Linked DNA regions of Astyanax mexicanus. The protein of the gene in region 3 interacts with the protein of the main gene of each other region in a pairwise test. Links are inferred from orthologs where the notes say so. Each region holds a gene or a part of one and is shown on either strand. Other genes may lie near its edges.

Evidence for each region.
Region 1: the proteins of zbtb8a (region 3) and znf276 interact in binary tests that used the Homo sapiens proteins (3 or more experiments, as listed by UniProt). The two-hybrid records come from large-scale screens. The link is inferred for Astyanax mexicanus from reciprocal best matches to the Homo sapiens genes ZBTB8A and ZNF276.
Region 2: the proteins of zbtb8a (region 3) and kif9 interact in binary tests that used the Homo sapiens proteins (3 or more experiments, as listed by UniProt). The two-hybrid records come from large-scale screens. The link is inferred for Astyanax mexicanus from reciprocal best matches to the Homo sapiens genes ZBTB8A and KIF9.

The regions. Positions count from the first base shown.
Region 1 is NC_064417.1:11,333,771-11,340,359, reverse strand, and holds the start of znf276 (zinc finger protein 276), read left to right. Parts: upstream 1-2,762; 5' UTR 2,763-2,794; intron 2,795-5,316; 5' UTR 5,317-5,355; coding exon 5,356-5,753; intron 5,754-6,118; coding exon 6,119-6,165; intron 6,166-6,354; coding exon 6,355-6,537; intron 6,538-6,589. UniProt on the Homo sapiens protein: May be involved in transcriptional regulation.
Region 2 is NC_064415.1:39,516,770-39,523,358, reverse strand, and holds the start of kif9 (kinesin-like protein KIF9), read right to left. Parts: upstream 3,926-6,589; 5' UTR 3,770-3,925; intron 2,218-3,769; exon of another isoform or gene 2,206-2,217; 5' UTR 2,201-2,205; coding exon 2,105-2,200; intron 1,970-2,104; coding exon 1,804-1,969; intron 692-1,803; coding exon 585-691; intron 490-584; coding exon 259-489; intron 1-258. UniProt on the Homo sapiens protein: Essential for normal male fertility and for progressive motility of spermatozoa.
Region 3 is NC_064421.1:41,106,888-41,113,476, reverse strand, and holds the start of zbtb8a (zinc finger and BTB domain-containing protein 8A), read right to left. Parts: upstream 3,790-6,589; 5' UTR 3,524-3,789; coding exon 3,459-3,523; intron 3,412-3,458; exon of another isoform or gene 3,159-3,411; coding exon of another isoform or gene 3,157-3,158; intron 1,276-3,156; coding exon 449-1,275; intron 1-448. Other genes in the region: gale (UDP-glucose 4-epimerase), read right to left, coding at 6,042-6,106. UniProt on the Homo sapiens protein: May be involved in transcriptional regulation.

The DNA.
Region 1 (6,589 bases), on a different chromosome or scaffold from region 3:
GATTTAAAGTGAAAAGTTTAGTTAATTTTTCTACAATGCCTCATCATTTCAGGAGTACAAAATTATTTGGACAAATTAATTTTACTATTCTTTTTGACATAATCAAACACTGGGTTTCCTCCCTTATGATGTTTTGCCAAGTCTTTACTGCAGCTTTCTTCAGTTGATGTTGTTTTTTTGGGTCTTAAGCAAGTGAAGTGCTGCCCAATCAGGTTCAGATCCTAGGATCTTAGTTTCACCTGTCCAACGAATGATATACCAGAACTGGGCTGGCTTCTTTAGATGGTTTTGGTATACTCTAATCTGGTAATAATCTTTTCTATTAAAGATCTTTGTAGTCCCGTGAAGTTTTCTCTTTATAGTAGACTGATTATAAATTCTGATACACCTACTTCTGGAGAGTACTCTTCTCTTGGGTGGATGTTGTGAAGAGATTTTCTTCACCATGGACAGGATTCTGCTCGCATTCCCCACTGTTGACTTCCGTGGATGTCCAGGTCTTTTTAAATTCCTGAGATTATCACTGCGATCTTTTTTCCCCAGAGTGTACCAAACTGATTATTGAGCTTCTTCAAGAGAGCTCCTTTAACTGCAGGTTGCAGGTTGCAAGGCCAACATGTTGACAACTGTGCTTGACGAGTGACCCTGGACTGATCCTAGTCTCTACAAACTAGCTATGGATATTTTGAAGTAAACAACGAAGCACTGTCGCTCTGGATAACGGCTACTGCTAAATAACTTAAATGTAAATGTTAATCGTCAGGTGAAGAAGGAAGAGGCTATTTGAGTGAATGTGAAGTAACCTCTTCTGAGATAGACTATGCATGGCTGTTCGGCTCGCCACAAAGTCTTAGACAGGCCAGAAGGTCTAAAGGCCCTGAGAAAAAAACATGACTGGTTTACTGGATTTAATGAAGCTCCTTAAAGAAACATATTGTTTAATAATGTTTAATCAGCAGTGTTATGTTTGTTTCGCATAACCAATTGACAATCATGTGACTGATGATTTTAACTCCAATTAGAACATGCATTATGATAAAGTTAATTTACATGTAAATTATGTTTGAATATAATTGTTAGTGCAAGAGAAAGGACTACGGTGGCCGAGAAAGCCCAGCGCAGTGCAAATTGAAAAGCGCTGCAAAAGCACAAAACACATCCATCAAAATTACAACACAGGCGCAGCAAATAGAAAAACGCGCTGCAAAAAGAAAAACGCGCTGCAAATAGAACCACAACACAACGGAAGTGAGTCACAACACAACGGAATTTTCCCGGGGGACCTTAAAAGATGCTGTACCAGCTGTGTACAAAGGACAATAAGTGGCAAACAAGCTTCTGAAAAGTAAGTTATGTTTATTACCTGTGATTACCATGGTTGTGTGCATATTATTAAAAGTTCTGCTTCACAAAACGCCTTGTTTGCCACTTATTGTCCTTTGTACACATAGTGAAGTCCGAGACGTTACTGAAGACGCAGCTTAGCTGGTACAGTATCTTTTAAGGTCCCCCGGGAAAATTCCGTTGTGTTGTGACTCACTTCCGTTGTGTTGTGGTTCTATTTGCAGCGCGTTTTTCTTTTTGCAGCGCGTTTTTCTATTTGCTGCGCCTGTGTTGTAATTTTGATGGATGTGTTTTGTGCTTTTGCAACGCTTTTCAATTTGCACTGCGTTGGGCTTTCTCAGCCACCGTAAAGGACAGTTAAAGTAGTTCAGTTAATTTTTTTCCTGTATTTATTTCTCCTTTTTCCTTATTACTGATTCTTTGTTTGATTCATGCTCTGGTTTGGAAATCAAACCAGTAAAACTGACTGCACTGATTTACTTCAGGAATGCACTATAGTATTTTTATGGACAGCGAAACTGAGAATTAGCGTTTGTGCGTGCGTTTCTCCGGGCGCCGCAGGTGAGGGGGCGCTCTGGGCTGGGAGCTGTTCCTCTCTGTGCATTTATTTACTACTGAAGAGTTCCGGGTCGTGCCTATCGCCCTCCCGCCTTTTGCACGAGCAGCTTTGATCTCCGTTAGCGCCGCTGCTGCTGTTACTGTTATTGTCATTATTATAGTATTATCGTTAGTTTTCAGATTAAGCAGTGTTAGTAGTGCGGCGCTCTCTGCAGGTGTACTGAGCGGCAGCGCGAGCGCCGGTGTCTGATGGACTCAGGTAGGGTCAAAGCTGATCTGAGACTGAGAGCGTTATTACACTGTTTATAAGCGCTGCCGGTGTTTATAACAGTGCTGAGTGTGTGCAGCTGTGTGAAATGGTTTGTTTTAAGGTGGAACTACCTGAAATATTTAAGGTGACCACAGATAATCGAGTTCGGTGGTTGGGTTTTTATATACTGTAAGTTAAACAAGCCCCGTATTTAATACATGCTGAATGAGCCAGGGTAGTTTCAGTAATTATATGCTGCATTCAGTCTGTTTTAATAAAGATTAGTTATAAATATCTCCTTATATGGTTTATGGGTAACTCGGGTGTGTTTTAATGCGTGTAGCTGAGGTTTTGCGTATCTAGTGCGTAGCTAGCTGTATGTAGTGAATTCAGGGTAAAAGACTATTTACTGTTTTGTCTCTGTGTGCTCTGTATAGTGTAAGTGTGATGAATAATTTATAACCGGGTTATTTCTGTAATGCTTATCCATGTGCATCATATAAAATCTTACATTCTCAAACCCAGAAGAGGATAATAAAATGTATGTTAACTGGCTTTCGTATATTTTAGGTGTGTTTATGATCTCTGTTTTGGTTTTTACACAATCCAGGTTTCATGGAATTTAATGGAGTATGACTGAGGGTAAGTGCAGCACTATATTGTACTGTGTTTCAGTGTAACACAGTAGTGTGTGTTAATATTACATCGCTACTGTTATAGGTTAGGAGGAGTAACTGTTGGTGCCGGGTGAGAGGATGTGTAACTGTTAGTGCTGGGTGAGAGGGTGGGTAGCTGTTAGTGCCAGGTGAGGGGGTGGGTAACTGTTGGTGCCGGGTGAGGGGTGTGTGTAACTGTTGGTGCCGGGTGAGGGGTGTGTGTAACTGTTGGTGCCGGGTGAGGGGTGTGTGTAACTGTTGGTGCCGTATGAGGGGTGTGTGTAACTGTTGGTGCTGGGTGAGGGGTGTGTGTAACTTTAGTGCCGGGTGAGGGGGTGTGTAACTGTCAGTGCCGGGTGAGGGGGTGTGTAACTGTCAGTGCCGGGTGAGGGGGTGGGTAACTGTCAGTGCCGGGTGAGAGGGTGGGTAGCTGTCAGTGCCGGGTGAGAGGGTGGGTAGCTGTTAGTGCCGGGTAAGGGGGTGTGTAACCGTTAGTGCTGGGTGAGGGGGTGGGTAGCTGTTCGTGCCGGGTAAGGGTGTGTGTAACTGTTGGTGCCGGGTGAGGGGTGTGTGTAACTGTTGGTGCCGGGTGGGTGTGTGTAACTGTTGGTGCCGTATGAGGGGTGTGTGTAACTGTTGGTGCCGGGTGAGGGGTGTGTGTAACTGTTGGTGCCGGGTGGGTGTGTGTAACTGTTGGTGCCGTATGAGGGGTGTGTGTAACTGTTGGTGCCGGGTGAGGGGTGTGTGAAACTGTCGGTGCCGGGGGACGGGTGTGTGTAACTGTCAGTGCCGGGTGAGTGGGTGTGTAACTGTCAGTGCCGGGTGAGTGGGTGTGTAACTGTCAGTGCCGGGTGAGGGGTATGTAAGTGTCAGTGCCGAGTGGGAGGGGGTCTAAGTGTCAATGCCGTGTGAGAGGGGGTGTAAGTGTCAGTGCCGGGTGAGAGGGGGTGTAAGTGTCAGTGCCGGGTGAGAGGGGGTGTAAGTGTCAGTGCGGGGTGAGAGGGGGTGTAAGTGTCATTGCCGGGTGAGAGGGGGTGTAAGTGTCATTGCCGGGTGAGAGGGGGTGTAAGTGTCAGTGAGGGGTGGGGGGGCCGGGTGAGGGGTATGTAAGTGTTAGTGCCGGGTGAGAGGGTTGGTAGCTGTTAGTGCCAGGTGAGGGGGTGTAAGTGTCAGTGCCAGAAGAGAAGGGGTGTAAGTGTCAGTGCCGGGCTGAGGGGGCCGGGAGAGAGGGGGTGTAAGTGTCAGTGCCGGGAGAGAAGACGTGTGTGTGTAAGTGTCAGTGCCGGGTGAGGGGTATGTAAGTGTCAGTGCCGGGTGAGAGGGGGTGTAAGTGTCAGTGCCGGGTGAGAGGGGATGTAAGTGTCAGTGAGGGGTGTGTAAGTGTCAGTGCCGGGTGAGAGGGGGTGTAAGTGTCAGTGCAGGGTGAGAGGGATGTCAGTGCCGGGTGAGAGGGGTGTAAGTGTCAGTGCCGGGTGAGAGGGGGTGTAAGTGTCAGTGCCGGGTGAGAGGGGGTGTCAGTGCCGGGTGAGAGGGGTGTAAGTGTCAGTGCCGGGTGAGAGGGGGTGTAAGTGTCAGTGAGGGGTGAGAGGGTGTGTAAGTGTCAGTGAGGGGTGTGTAAGTGTCAGTGCCGGGTGAGAGGGGGTGTAAGTGTCAGTGCCGGGTGAGAGGGGGTGTAAGTGTCAGTGAGGGGTGAGAGGGGGTGTAAGTGTCAGTGCCGGGTGAGAGGGGGTGTAAGTGTCAGTGCCGGGTGAGAGGGGGTGTAAGTGTCAGTGCCGGGTGAGAGGGGATGTAAGTGTCAGTGAGGGGTGTGTAAGTGTCAGTGCCGGGTGAGAGGGATGTCCGTGCCGGGTGAGAGGGATGTCAGTGCCGGGTGAGAGGGATGTCAGTGCCGGGTGAGAGGGGTGTAAGTGTCAGTGCCGGGTAAGAGGCGGTGTAAGTGTCAGTGCCGGGTGAGAGGGGGTGTAAGTGTCAGTGCCGGGTGAGAGGGGGTGTAAGTGTCAGTGCCGGGTGAGAAGGGGTGTCAGTGCCGGGTGAGAGGGGTGTAAGTGTCAGTGCCGGGTAAGAGGCGGTGTAAGTGTCAGTGCCGGGTGAGAGGGGGTGTAAGTGTCAGTGCCGGGTGAGAAGGGGTGTCAGTGCCGGGTGAGAGGGGTGTAAGTGTCAGTGCCGGGTGAGAGGGGGTGTAAGTGTCAGTGAGGGGTGTGTAAGTGTCAGTGCCGGGTGAGAGGGGGTGTAAGTGTCAGTGCCGGGTGAGAGGGGGTGTAAGTGTCAGTGCCGGGTGAGAGGGGGTGTAAGTGTCAGTGCCGGGTGAGAGGGGGTGTAAGTGTCAGTGCCGGGTGAGAGGGGGTGTAAGTGTCAGTGCCGGGTGAGAGGGGGTGTAAGTGTCAGTGCCGGGTGAGAGGGGGTGTAAGTGTCAGTGCCGGGTGAGAGGGGGTGTAAGTGTCAGTGCCGGGTGAGGGGTGTGTAAGTGTGTTTCTGTATATATATTTAGAATGGAGTGTTTTTGTTCAGTTTTGTGCTCCTAGTGAAGCAGCAGTTCCCCTGTGGGTCATGCAGCGCGGTCAGGCTGTGCGGCGGCGCCGGGCAGGTCGGTCAGACACACACAAGCCGAAGATGAGACGCTCGGCCTCGGGTGAGCCCGCCACGCCACACGGAACTGGAAAACCTGACAAAGTGGGCAAATCGAGCAAGGTGGGCACCGGGCAGTGCCGCCTGTGCCACGGGCAGTTCTCCTCACGCCGGCTTCGCAGGGCCTTCGGAAAGCCCCCGGACTCGGACCGGTTCTGTTCAGATTTCCAGCGCCTCCTGGGCGTCCCGCTGCTCCGGGACCCGGCGCTGCCCCAGTTCATCTGCAGGACCTGCCATGCCCAGTTCTACAAGTGCCTCAGCATCCTCACCAACTTCAGAGAGAGAGTCAACCTCACCCCTAACTCCACCCACATGGAGAGGTGCGCTCGCCTGCAGCCGCATATTCCACTTCTGTTTATTTGGAATCTATAAACGACTAACCGCATTAATAATTAAATAAACTAATAAAATATTAGCTTAATTGTGTTATTTGTATTATTTTTTATGTTGATTTTGATTTGTCTCAGTAATCAACTTTTACTGTTATTTTGTAAAAGTTCTGCTGCATGTGACAGTGCTGTTAGAACAAATTATGCTAGGTAATACTTTCATTCCAGCTAATACTGTTACATTAACTCTGAACAATATTTAATCTTTGTAAAATCAGTTTACATGCTAGAACTCATGTACTAATCATTTAACCAAATTAAAAATGGTCTTTATGGTTTTGGTTATTTAATTACAGGATTTCATCAAAATGGCCTTCAATGAAAAAAGACAAGAACCGGTCATGTAAGTGAGATTAGATCAATACGTTCCTAATGCAGACTTTTTAGTGAAATAAAAATATTGAATGTGGTACAAATTCCAGTTTTGTTGATTCTATGTGTAATGTTATCTTACATACTGGCTACATCTGAAATCTTTGTTAAACTCTAAAAGCACTGAACAGTTCTCAGCAGATTGTACTGTTTTTTACAGCACCCCTTATCACCTCAGACCCCCGCTGTCTGCGCAGCCTTGTGTCCTGGACCCATCAGCATGCTGAGAGCTGCAGCTCTTGCCCTGGCCTGAAGGAGGTGCTGGAGGGTCAGTGCTGGGGCTCGGTGAAGGCAGTGTGGCGCTGTGTGGACGGACACAGTTATGTGATGGACACCGGCATGGGTAATCTAACTGTTTACAGTTGTGGTCAAAAGTTTACATACACTTGTAAAAA
Region 2 (6,589 bases), on a different chromosome or scaffold from region 3:
TTCAATTATTGTGTTTTAACTGATAATACAGTCTTTAAATTTAGGTAAGATATGCTGCCAAATAAAATCAAAGTAAAATAATTTTTTCAGTAGAATGTTGATGGTGTGACATTCTGGACTTGCATACTGTGCATTTACCCTTTCTTTTTTTAAATGCTGTATTAATTAATAATAAAAAAAAATAATAAAAAATTGCAAGACGACAATTATTAAAGTATCAGGACATTGATCCAAAAGATCACAAAACCATTGCCTCACCTCGAAAAGCAGATTAAAGGCCTCTTCTTCATTATGTACGGGATGTAAAGTAAGTCCCTTCACTGAAACACCACCACCTGGATCTTCCACTATAGTCAAGGCTCCGCCTTGCACCGCCCGGCCCCTCTTTATTGAGGCTAGCAGGTCCACCAATGTCTCATTATAGATCTCCAGAAAGGAGAGGAACACGGAAAAGGTGTGATCCACACGCTGCTCCACCTCATAAAACACCTGGCCAGAGAGAGAGAGATTTCACAAAGAGATGATTAAGATGATTAAATACTGTATCCAAAGGACTGCATCAAGATAACAAATGAACGTTGTACCTCCTGCAGGGCACGAGGGATAATTCCTCTTTGCTGGTAACTCTCTGTGGCACCAGTCATTGTATAAGTTTTTCCTGCCCCAGTCTGTCCAAAACACATGATTGTACCTGATAGACAGACAGAATTCAAAAACTTGAAAACTGAAATTACATGGACTGTCAAACACAGTGACTGTGACACAGTATGATTTTTATAGCAGATATTGTTGATACTTTAAACAAACTTAAATTAGTGGTTTTAATTTAAACTCTTTACTCAAGGTCTGCACGTGAAAAAAGTTACAATCTAAACAATCTGACTTCTGATTCCTAAAGGCCAAATGTCTAACAGAACTAATGATAAAACAATTTAATATCCCAAAAAAAGGAATGCACAGTTTAGAAACATAACCATGCACAAAGTGTAAATTTGACTTCACACTTTGAGAGAAAAAACTTTCAATGGAAGTCAATGTAAAAAAAGTTTATTTCAGGTCATTTTGAAGAGTTTCTATTGGTCCATTCATCAATAGATTTTGGCACAGTGTAAGGAACAGTTTGTCTGTTTAATTTATGTAGTAAACTAAAACTTGACAAAAATGGAGATAAATATTTTTCATTGGACAGCGACTATATGCTTTAGATGGTAAATAAACAATCAGTTCTTGTAGTTCATGTTTGACATGGGGGAAATTGGCAGGTGTGAAGATTTGAATCACCAAAGTGGCAAAGATGCTCCGAGTTAACAAAAGGGTGCATCCAAAAAACATACATGCTTACAACTTCCTAAGACTCACCCCTTAATTTGATTTACTAAATATACTGCTTCATTGCTCCACATGGTGGTGCTAATGAAATAAATACGGTAAACCTGCATATATATATATGTGTTTATGTGGAATGTGTGATGAATACTTGCAGACATATAAAGCTAATTTAGTTGTGGAGGAATGTATAAAACTATTACGATAAATGTACAATAAATTAGTGCTGTGCAAACAAGCAGCTGAAAAAAATGTGCAATAAAACAAATGCTGCAGATAATTCTAAAATGACACAACATTACTGTAAACAGATACATTTATTATATTGGTTACTACTATCTAATTTTCCCAAAGTCCAGTATGTGGTATTGTCAATAAACCAACTTTGACTAGTTTATAATATTTAAACTGATTTTGCGTTTCAAATAACACATTATTAATATGGTTCCAAACTGCACAGCATTTCATGGCAATTACCATTGTAGCCTTCCAGAGCTCGGAGCACCACACTGTGGGCAACGCTCTGATAGACCTCTTCCTGAGACATGTTGTGCATCACACCATCCAGCTTAAATGACCAGGAGCTCATCTGATTATTCACCACCCCTTTCCTGGACTCCCGCCTGTGCCGCACATTTACTGTCTGAGTAAGATAACAAGATAACAAACGTGGTACAAATGAAAAACCCAGTGAAAATAAATGTGATGCTGCGTAATGATAAGATAAACAGAATAGGAAGATGATAAAGTGACTGTTTTATTGAGTGTGCCAGTTTACCTGTTTATCCGGCAGATATTCAATAAGATCCTGGGCAAAGCAGGCCGTGGGTCTGGTGCGGACAAACACCTTCACCTCACTGCTGTGTGCGCTCATGATACCTATTAATAAACCTTTTACAATTATAGACAAACACAATCAAACTTAACTAGTAACACACAAACTGTTGCACTGCCCACATTATATATTAAGCACATCAATTAAACATTTACAGTGCAAACTAGAAAAACATAAGTCACCCATTTGAAATTATTTTGGAATTAAATTTCTGTGTGGCTTACTAATTAAATGTGGCTGCAAAAGATAGAAGGTATTTTTTTAACATGCTTTTATTGCCTGGGGACATACAGTGGTATGGAACATTGTGTGCACTCCTGATCATGTTCATGATCAGCAATTTCAGTAAAATATATCATATAGCAGATAATCACAGTGATATTTGAAAAGTGAAATAAAGTTGATAGAATTTACAGAAAGAGTGTGATAATTCTTTAAACAAAATTAAGCAGGTGCATAAATTTGGGCACCCCAACAGAAAAATTACATCAATATTTATTTTGGATCATACTTCTTTACAAAACATCCCCAGTTCAGTCAGGTTTGATGGTTTCTGATCACGAACAGCCCGCTTTAAATCACACCACAGATGAATATTCAATAATATTCAGGTCTGGGGACTGAGATGATCATTCCAGAAAATTGTATTTGTTCCTCTGCATTAATGCTTTAGTAGAGTTTGAGCAAGCTGCATGTAAGGTTGAATTGGGCTGCTTACTATTATAATCTAAATTGTATCGAGAATTGCTCATACACAGCTCTGGAAAAAAAAATAAGAGACCACTTCAGTTTCTGAATCAGTTTCTTTGATTTTGCTACGTATAGGTTTATGTTTGAGTAAAATGAACATTATTGTTTTATTCTATAAATTACTATATTGTCATTTAGAGCTTTTATTTGCAGAAAATGAGAAAAAAAAAGATGCAGAGCTTTCAGACCTCAAATAATACAAAGACAACAAGTTCATATTCATAAAGTCTTAAGAGTTCAGATATCTTACACACTGCTTTTGGATAACTTTATGCCACTACCCGTGCAGAAATTTAAGCAGTTCGGCTTGGTTTGATAGCTTGTGATCATCCATCGTCCTCTTGATTATATTCCAGAGGTTTATTTGGTAAAACCAAAGTAACATATCATTTTTAAGTGGTTTCTCATTTTTTCCCAGAGCTTTATTGGAAGAATATCAAGATTATTTTTTTACAATAACACCCAGCCCTACTAACATGTCGACATCATCTAGTTAGCAAGATAGATAGGTAAGCTAACCTAACTATTAACTAACAAATGAACTAATTTAACTAACTAACTAACTAATGTAGAACTCCACAGTGCGGTCTGATTCAGACTGACAGGAGTGAACACTCCACCCTGACAACAAGTCCACTAAAACCGCGTGTCAGGTAAACGTGGTTTTAAATTGTGAAATACAATAATTGTAAAAAATGAATACTCATACAAGTAAACTAGAGTTAATAAACTGGCGTTTATTTAGGCGTAAAACATTGTAGTTTTAGTCCTGTTTTTGACACGCACGGAGTATTAAACTAGTTAGGAATTAGAGGCTTAACATGAAACCATATAGTCGAACTTGTCGGATAAACTCACCTTTAAAAGTGTTATCTAGCTGTAGTCTGACTGAAACTAAACTGCTATAATATCTATAATTAGCTAAATTATGTTAGTTAAACTAAGCTACGTTTGTGGCGGAAATCGGAGAGCCGCCGCAGTGTTGAAGCTGTTGCCTGAGCAACAGCACTGTGGGTCGTGTCTCAAACCGCACCCTCGTTCCCTATCTAGTAAACTTTAGTTGCTGTTGTAAAATCAGAGCATGCGGACTTCCTATCTACGGTGGCCGAGAAAGCCCAGCGCAGTGCAAATTGAAAAGCGCTGCAAAAGCACAAAACACATCCATCAAAATTACAACACAGGCGCAGCAACTAGAAAAACGCGCTGCAACTAGAAAAACGCGCTGCAAATAGAAAAACGCGCTGCAAATAGAGCCACAACACAACGGAAGTGAGTCACAACACAACGGAATTTTCCCGGGGGACCTTAAAAGATGCTGTACCAGCTGTATACAAAGGACAATAAGTGGCAAACAAGCTTCTGAAAAGTAAGTTATGTTTATTACCTGTGATTGCCACGGTTGTGTGCATATTATTAAAAGTTCTGCTTCACAAAACGCCTTGTTTTGCCACTTATTGTCTTTTGTACACATAGTGAAGTCCGAGACGTCAGTGTTGGGAAGTAACGGATTACATGTAACGGCGTTACGTAATCAGATTACAAATTATAAGTAACTGTAATCCGTTACAGTTACTGCTTCAGTAAGTGGTAATCAGATTACAGTTACTCTGCTAAAATAAAAGGGTTACATTGCGGTACTTTCCTATTTTTGCTCTTCCAATCCAACACTGACAAAACGCAAATAACATTTTGCGGTGAATACGCTCTGATATGACAGGGAACTGTCTGCCCCTCCTCCCGTCTCGCTGCACACACACACAGGGAGGAGGGGCAGCGGCTCACAGCGGCTCCACACACACAACGAGACGAAATTAACTGACATTTTGGTCAACGAATAAAAACGAGACGAAAATGTTTGGCAGGGACGAAATCCAATCAGAACTGATTTAGGTCTGTGAAAGGAAGGGACCAGTTAGGAAGAGATCCAATCACTGCTACTTTAGCGAAGGTGGAGTACCCGCCTCTCCTGCAGCAGCGCCTCGCGGAATTAAACTGTCGATACGGAGCTCGACTGGAAGTTAACTCGACAGTGTTCAGCAGGGAGAGAGAGAGAGGAGAGGCGATATATTTCTCTTTTGACGTCGTGAAAAACAAGATAACGTGTAAACCGCGTGGAGCGACTCCATTACCGGTAAAAACACCACTAATCTTTCAGCTTCTGCAGACCAGAGTCACACAGATCTCCATGCAGAGATCAGCGTTTTAATGCTGATGTTATTTCATGAGCTGATGTGTTTAACTCGGCAGTGCACTAAAACACAGAACTGATACAGAACCCTAACTCATTAAGATCCGATCATCTGTTTAGTCTCACAGTGGGAAAGATATAGCTAGTGTTAAAGCAGGAACAGGTCAGAAAGGAACTCAATAATATATCCAAAATAAAACAATAAAATAAGTGAATCTATGAACCCAAAAGTTTGTGTAAAGTTCCTTACAGCACTTTCTCATAAGTTTCTCACTTTAACTCATGAAGTCTCTCTGTACATCCTGAGAGCATCTCTACAGGACAGTGTGTGAATGTGTGTTCATTTATAGAATGTAGCTACAGTAGGTGTGCTGGGTTAGTGCTGGAGATAAAACTAGATCCTTTAAAAGTTTTTGCATCTACAACGCTGTTCAAACTATAATTTAACTATTCAGATGTTTTATGACCTGATTTCTAGAGCAAAATTTTAAATGTAAAATATTTTACACACACCTACAATAATAATAGTAATAATAATAATATACATTAAATCATATATAAATATATTTCACTTTCAAACATTAACAATATTACTCAAGTGGTTATTAAACGTTTCATTTTGTATACATGTAGAGTTAATAATTCAAGGGAACTGATGAAAAAAGCATTTACATTTACACCCTTTACATTTTAGTCGACTAAATTTACTGTAATTTTAGTCGACTATATTCTTATGACATTAAGTCGACTAAAACTAAAAACATTTCAGATGACTAAATTGTGACTAAAACTAAATACTATTTTCGTCACAAGACTATGACTAAGACTAAATCACAATTTGTTGTCAAAATTACACTGGAGGCAAACCTGCAAAATAGATAGAGCTTACGGTTGTTGTTACATTGTTTGGTTTTAAATGGTTTTATCATCAATTTATAGAAGTGTTTTATAAAATTGTTTGATGAAATGGTTTCATAAGTATTTTTATAGAGTGATTGAAAAGGCTGTTTTATTTGTTTATCTATTTGTTACATTCATTCAGGCTTAAAAAAATGACAATATTTAAAGTAATCCAAAGTAATCAGATTACGTTACTCACTTGAAGTAATGTAACTGATTATGTTACAAATTACATTTTGAGTGATGTAATCAGTAATCTGTAAGGGATTACATTTTAAAAGTAACCTTCCCAACACTGCGAGACGTACAGTATCTTTTAAGGTCCCCCGGGAAAATTCCGTTGTGTTGTGACTCACTTCCGTTGTGTTGTGGTTCTATTTGCAGCGCGTTTTTCTATTTGCAGCGCGTTTTTCTAGTTGCAGCGCGTTTTTCTATTTGCTGCGCCTGTGTTGTAATTTTGATGGATGTGTTTTGTGCTTTTGCAGCGCTTTTCAATTTGCACTGCGTTGGGCTTTCTCGGCCACCGTACCTATCTCCTCCATTATATCAGAAAATTACTGTGAACCGCTAGAGCAGGAGTGGGCAATTAA
Region 3 (6,589 bases):
TCCTGGCTCCGTTTGGCTCCAGCGCGAGGCATTTTAGATGCGTAGCGGAGCGGACCCGAGCCTAGTCTAGCCTAGCCTAGCCAAGTCAAATCTAACCTAGCCTAGCCTAGCCTATGTGGCTACGTGCCTGTGTGATTACGTCATCACGCACAGACATAGCTCAGCAACGGAGGCTGATTGTGTTCAGCTCTGGGGCGAGCTTACGCCAGTAAAAAATGCCTGTCCATGTAAATAAAACATATCGATATACCACAAAAATTATATCACCGTTATTGAAACATTTCTTATCACGATAAATACCGATATCGAATTATTGTCCAGGCCTAGATCGGTCCAATCTCTAAGACTTTCACCAATCTCATTTGTAATCACAATGTGTGAGTCCAGTTTTTTTTTTAAATCATGCAAGACAATGCTGAATATAAGAGCCCCTTATATATGATCTTACCTTTGTTGAAAACACCCACCACTCCTAAAATAGTGGGCATGGTGGCATAGAGTTCATCTGCTTTGTGAGAAGACTGGAGGTCCAAGGGTGAATCGTCTGGAGCGTAGCGATGCGTGGCCGTTCTCTTCCTGTTCCCCCTCCTCCGGGGCTCCACCGCCGTGAACTGCACCGCCTGATCCTCCTCCATTCCAGAGTCCATGATGGATTGGGTCGGGGGGCTCTGCGGCAAGGCTGAGGACTGTGGGCTGGTCACCTCTCCAGGGTACTCATATTTAGACTGGTCGTCCTCCTCCTGCTGGTCCCAAAGGACGTTTTCATTGGCTGTGCTGACCTCGCAGGCCGTGGGCTCTTCACTGCCATCCTCACCACCGTCTCGTGAAGCGCTGCCATCCGACAAACACAGGTAGCGGCTGTCCTCCTCCTTGGTGCTGATCTCCAGGGAGGATTTGATGAAGGACTTGCAGTAGGCGATGACGTCATCCATCTGCAGGTAGCTGGCCGCTGACATCACCTCGATCATATTGGTGCTGTTAAGCTCCAGTTTTCCAGAGTACACAAAGTCCAGGATGATGGTAAAGATGTCGGGGCTAAAAGCGTCAAAGGAGGCACTGACGGGCTCCAGGCTGCTCTTGGCCCCCTGGGAGAGCAGCATGCGGAAGTAGCCGCTGCTGCCGAACAGGACGTTACGGTGTGCCCGGAAAAGGTGCCCCTCCACAAGGATGTTGCAGTCACAGAAGAGCTGCTTCCGTCTCTGTTGGTCCAGCTGTTTCAGGAGGCAGCACTGGTGATTGGCTGATATGTCTGCACTCGTGAATTTGTGGATCAGCCTGAAATAAGAAAAGATGCAGTTAAAGATGGCATGATTAAAAATTAGCTGGTTTTAAAGAAATATGTTGTGAAATTAGAGGTGGACAATATGCCCCTAAAATAATATCACGATATTTCAAAAAACATTACTCCTTGCTGAAGGCCTCTGACAACAGACTAATCCTGTCCCCTTTTTTAATTATTAAAAAATATTCAGACATCGAATTTCAATATATAAAATATTTTTATGTTCTAAATAATGCTGCATGCCATCAGCAGCCAGAGTCCAAGAAAGCATAATTGGCCATGCTCTCTTTGGAAGGGTAGATGGTGCTTCTCATTGATGTCAATTGAATCTCCATGCTTGGTAAAAAACTATGGGCAATATCTACATCAGCAAAAATAATTGAGGTCATGTTCATATACTTTATGATAGGTTGATAATGCCTTTATAATATTCCATATAATAATAATGTTATGTGACAAGTCTACCACAAACCATCATACCCACACAAAAAGAGCAGGTGTGGACCAGTTCAGCAATAGAGAAACCACATCTTACAGTAGGTACAGATGCAAAATGACCAAAATATATATAATTGATATCAAATTTAGCATAGACACAGCAGCTAGCCTTGGTTAGATAAAGTATGTTTTGCTGTTTGATATAAGCTAAGATATATGATATATGTTGATATTGAATTATTGTCTAGTCCCACTTGTAATATAAAAGACAATAAAAAATAAATTATAAAAAATAATTATTATAGTATATGCTTGTTTTTAGCCACCAACGTTAAAATCTAGGTATACAGAGTCAAATCGGCTCAGCCACAACATTTCCACTGAAGTGCTCCAGACCGTGGATCATAATTCACCCCAGCAGCCCATTTCTGGGTCATCCTCTCCCCTTCCCAGATCCTTTGTTCCATCCAGAAAGGAAAAGGGCTAAAACAGACACCCCTGCTTTCTGATTGGCTGTTACGTCTGTCAGTCAAGCGCGCTGGCTCTCGAGGAGAGAGCCGCACCCCGTGTTATTTCCTTTCCCACCTGTATTGCGACAGGTCCCGCCCCCTTGATGCACTGTGATTGGCTAATAGAACAGGACTGAAAGTCATGAGTGCGGCATCTGCTATAAGCTCCTAGTGCTGTCAATTATATTCCTAAAATGGGTGGGGACAAAAATAACACACACACCCCCGTTTCTCCCAACGGGTAACAGAATTTAGGATCGGGGTGGAGGTAAATAAAAAAGGTCGGGTGGTAAAAATCAGAGAAAAATAATATATATATATATATTTTTCTCTATCTTCTTTTATTTTATAGATTTTAATGTATATGATTAAACCTTGTAATCAGAACAGACAAGCACCAAAAATATATTCTATTTTTTTTTTACCAATATCTTACAAACATATTTTCATTTATATTTCATTATAATAAGTTAATAATTAGCTATAATATTTCGCAATTGATGTTGAAAAAGAGGTCAATCCCACAAAAAAAGAAAAAAACGAGCACGCCCGCCCGTGCTCCATTAGAGCAGCCTACACCCGTTTGAAAGGCGAGCTAAAACTAGCTTCTAACCTCCAGGACCTGGATAACGCTCACTAGCCATAATGTGTGTGTTTTTCCTCAGTTAATAAGACAGACGAGATAAATGTGTGGAATATTTGCCATAAAATAAGCTAATAATGTGGAAACGGGCAGCCGCTGGAAGCCCTTCATGTTTGAGCCCATCGACCTCCTTCCCTCCCCCTGTTCTCTACTAACTGCAGCAGCTAAACAGGAAAATACAGTAAAATACTGTGTCCACGGCACTAAATGCAACATTTTGAGCATTATCAACGAAATAAAGCGAATAAACGCCCATATTAAGGGTTTAAAGAGGGTGGGCTAACATGCAAACCACGCCCGGGGTGGTTCAGGGACTTAGCTCGGCTCCCACAGCCCGCGGTTAGCCCTCTTCTTCAGCGGGAGATCCTGCACTGCGCAGCGGCGGCGCGGTGCTCTCTCCCCGTGCGCGGAGCTCCGCCTAGCCCGCTGACTCCCTCCTGCCTGACCTCCGCCCGCCACCCACCTAAGTCCGCTCCGGCCCCGCTGCCTGCCTCTCTCTGCCTCTCCCCCGTCTCACACTCCGGGGCGGCTGTGCCCCTTCCTTCCGCCCCCTTTCCTCCAACAAAGCGGCATACAGCATACTCACTGCTGACCCGGCTCGCTCGGGGTCCGGTACGGTCTACTCGTCCCACTTTCGCAGACCATCTCCATGTCTTTAGGCTACTTTGGTCGGTTTTAGTGGTGGTGCTGTTTCCCACCCCCTCCAGCTTTAACTGATCACTTCCTGCTTAGCCCGAAAGACCGAAACCCGTTAGTGTGTGTGTGTGTGTGTGTGAGGGGGATAAAGCCCCCCACACGGCTCTTGCTGACGTGGGTGTTCAGAGAGCCCGCCAGGGCTGTGGAGCCACTTAAAGCACAAGTGTCCTCCTCCACATGCCCGCTCTCCGCTCGCTCCAGCCCGGCCACTCCACCCGACCTCTGCGCCTCTAACCCTCCCGCAGGAGACCGACCGCACCCGTCCGAGTCGTCCAATCTTACCTCGATATCAAATAACATTTAATAAATGTTGTTGTTTTGTATGCATCACATCTGTCAATGTTGACAATGGAAAAACAACAATTAAACAGCCTGGTATTAAAAACCTTGAATAAATGTTATTGTTTTGGTTGCATCCCATCTTTTAAAGTGGACAGAAGAAAAATTTAACCACCCTTTATTTAACATTGCCTAATATAGGCATTGGTTAGAGTGTTGAAATTCTGACAATTAATCGAACTCATTCAGTTTGAATAGTTAGAGCTCAGAATATACACCCACAATGGATAACACTATTTGTTTTAACTAATAATATTATTATTAGTCCCTCAAAACGTTGAGAAAACTATTTCAGGTGACACTACCTCATGAAGACACTGAGATTAAAATAGCAAGACTGTAGAATGCATCTTGAGCACCTGCATTACAGCCTGGTTTGGGAACTGCAACATCTCAGATCGCAAGACCCTACAGCGGACAGTGAGGACAGCTGAGCAGATCATCGGAGACCCTCTCCCCTCCATCACCGAGATCTACACCACACGCTACATCTGCAAAGCTTATGGACGACCCCACCCATCCCTCACATGTACTCTTCAGTCTGATGCCGTCCGGCAGAAGATACAGGAGCTTCCGAGCCTTTACTACCGGACTCTGCAACAGCTTCATCCACCAGGCAGTCAGACTCCACAACACACAGATCTGAACTAAACCCCCCACCACTCTTCACACACAGAAAGACTCAGCACACAGAGACTGAAATGTTTCTCTGTGTTTCAGTGTCTCAGTATCTTCATCCCTATCAGCAATGTTTGCTGCTTCTACCAAAAAAACACAAATTCTCTACATCAGTAACTGCTGTGATCATGTATGTTCTATACGTTACAGCATGTTAAATTCCTCTGCACCTTATCCTCACTAGAACATTTAACTTTACCGTGATGGTACTGCACTGTCTTGTCTTTTAAATTGTCTCATCTATTGTATTTATTTGATTTATTTTGGTGTTTTAGATTTATGTTGCTCTTACGTTACACTTTTGCAATTTGTTTATCTATTGTATTGTTGTAGCTGTACCAGAAGCTCTAAAAGCTCTTGGTGCAGATCTAGAGTGTAAAACCAGGGTAACCTAGCTGCTCCACCTAGTAGGTTTAAAGTTAGAGACAGAAGCTCTGAATCTGTTGCTGCACAGTTTATGATGGTCATCCTTTAGTCCTTCATCAGTGCAAACAGGATGCTGTTGGTGGACTATTCTCTGTCCAGCAGTGACAGTGAGATGTTTAAAAACTCCAGCAGCACTGCTGTATCTGATCCACTTATGCCAACATACACACACTAACACCTCATACACCACCACCATGCCAGTCAGTATCACTGCAGTGCTGAGAATGAACTATAAAGTGCCCTGCCAAAAATGAGAAAATTGACAGTGGGAGGAAAAACAAGGCTATCATCATTTTATATTTTATTAGTAATTATTGAATGAAGTAATACTGAACTGGGCTCATGTGCTGAATAAGAGCTGAATGCTAGAGTAATTCAGATCAACTTTCATAATAAATTTGGGTTTAGGCGACGGATAGAATTCACAGTTAGGTTAACAAACGTATTATTAGTAATTAACTAGTTATTCCAATGCTGAAACGTGGGCATAACACATGTAATGGCTGAAATACACAGCTTTATAAATGCACAAGATACAATATATATTTTTTTGTAAATCCCTTTTATTATGAGTTGCAAAAAAGCACCTGTTTTGGTCTTCTTGTATTTGGCTTCAATGCAGTTATAAAAGAAGTATAGTCAGATGAAAATAAAACAATCCCTTGTTTCCCAAAATAATTAAATTATAATTATTTAAAGAATTAAGTTAATCAACAGTATTGACAACATGACAAGGTACAAACAGAAAGATATGCAATGAACTTGGCCCTGGAAATGTTAAGTTAAGAATGGATTTGAATAAAGAAAATACAGGATCAATAAAGACACATACTAAGATTGGTCAAAGAGACAAAGGCTTGCTAATAATAATTTAAAAGTAATCAGGTAGAAACAGTACTGTAAGGAATGTAAATCATTCATTGTGTCATTGTTTTCATAGATTTCGTCTAGTTTAAATCAAGTCGTAGAAAAGTAATGGACTTCATGGCTCTAGGATCTTCTTCTCTTCAGTCTTCCTTCTGCATCAGCTTCACACCACATTCCCATTACTGAAGCCTGTGGGATTTTGGGACTGCCAGCGCCACAGGTCTTCACCTGTCAGAGCAAATAAACAGGAAATTGCATCATCAAATGTCAAGACGAAAAACTGAATTTATTTCCAGTATACAAATTTTTTCCAATAGGGAGTTGTTGGAATGGAATGGAATTTTATATGTGTAAATGTAAAGACGATATATGTATATGTAAGTGATTACAATTTTAGAGAGAAAGGATAAGTTTATTGGGGAATGCATACAATCCACTGAATAGAATCCATATCAATCCCATTAAAAGAAGGCTAGCTTAGATACAATATAAAATACAGTGGGTAATACAGTAGGAATACAGGTTCTGCATGGCATCCTGAAGCGCATTTAGCTAAAGATGTTGCAGTTGGGCCTGTAGATCGTGTACATTTTAAGGATGTTGAAGCTAGAATACCAGCTGGATACCACACAGGACTTGGATTCTCCATGAATGACAATGCAGTGCCACTCCGTAGCAGTCCACGTTTCACAGTCCCACGGCAAGTAGGGC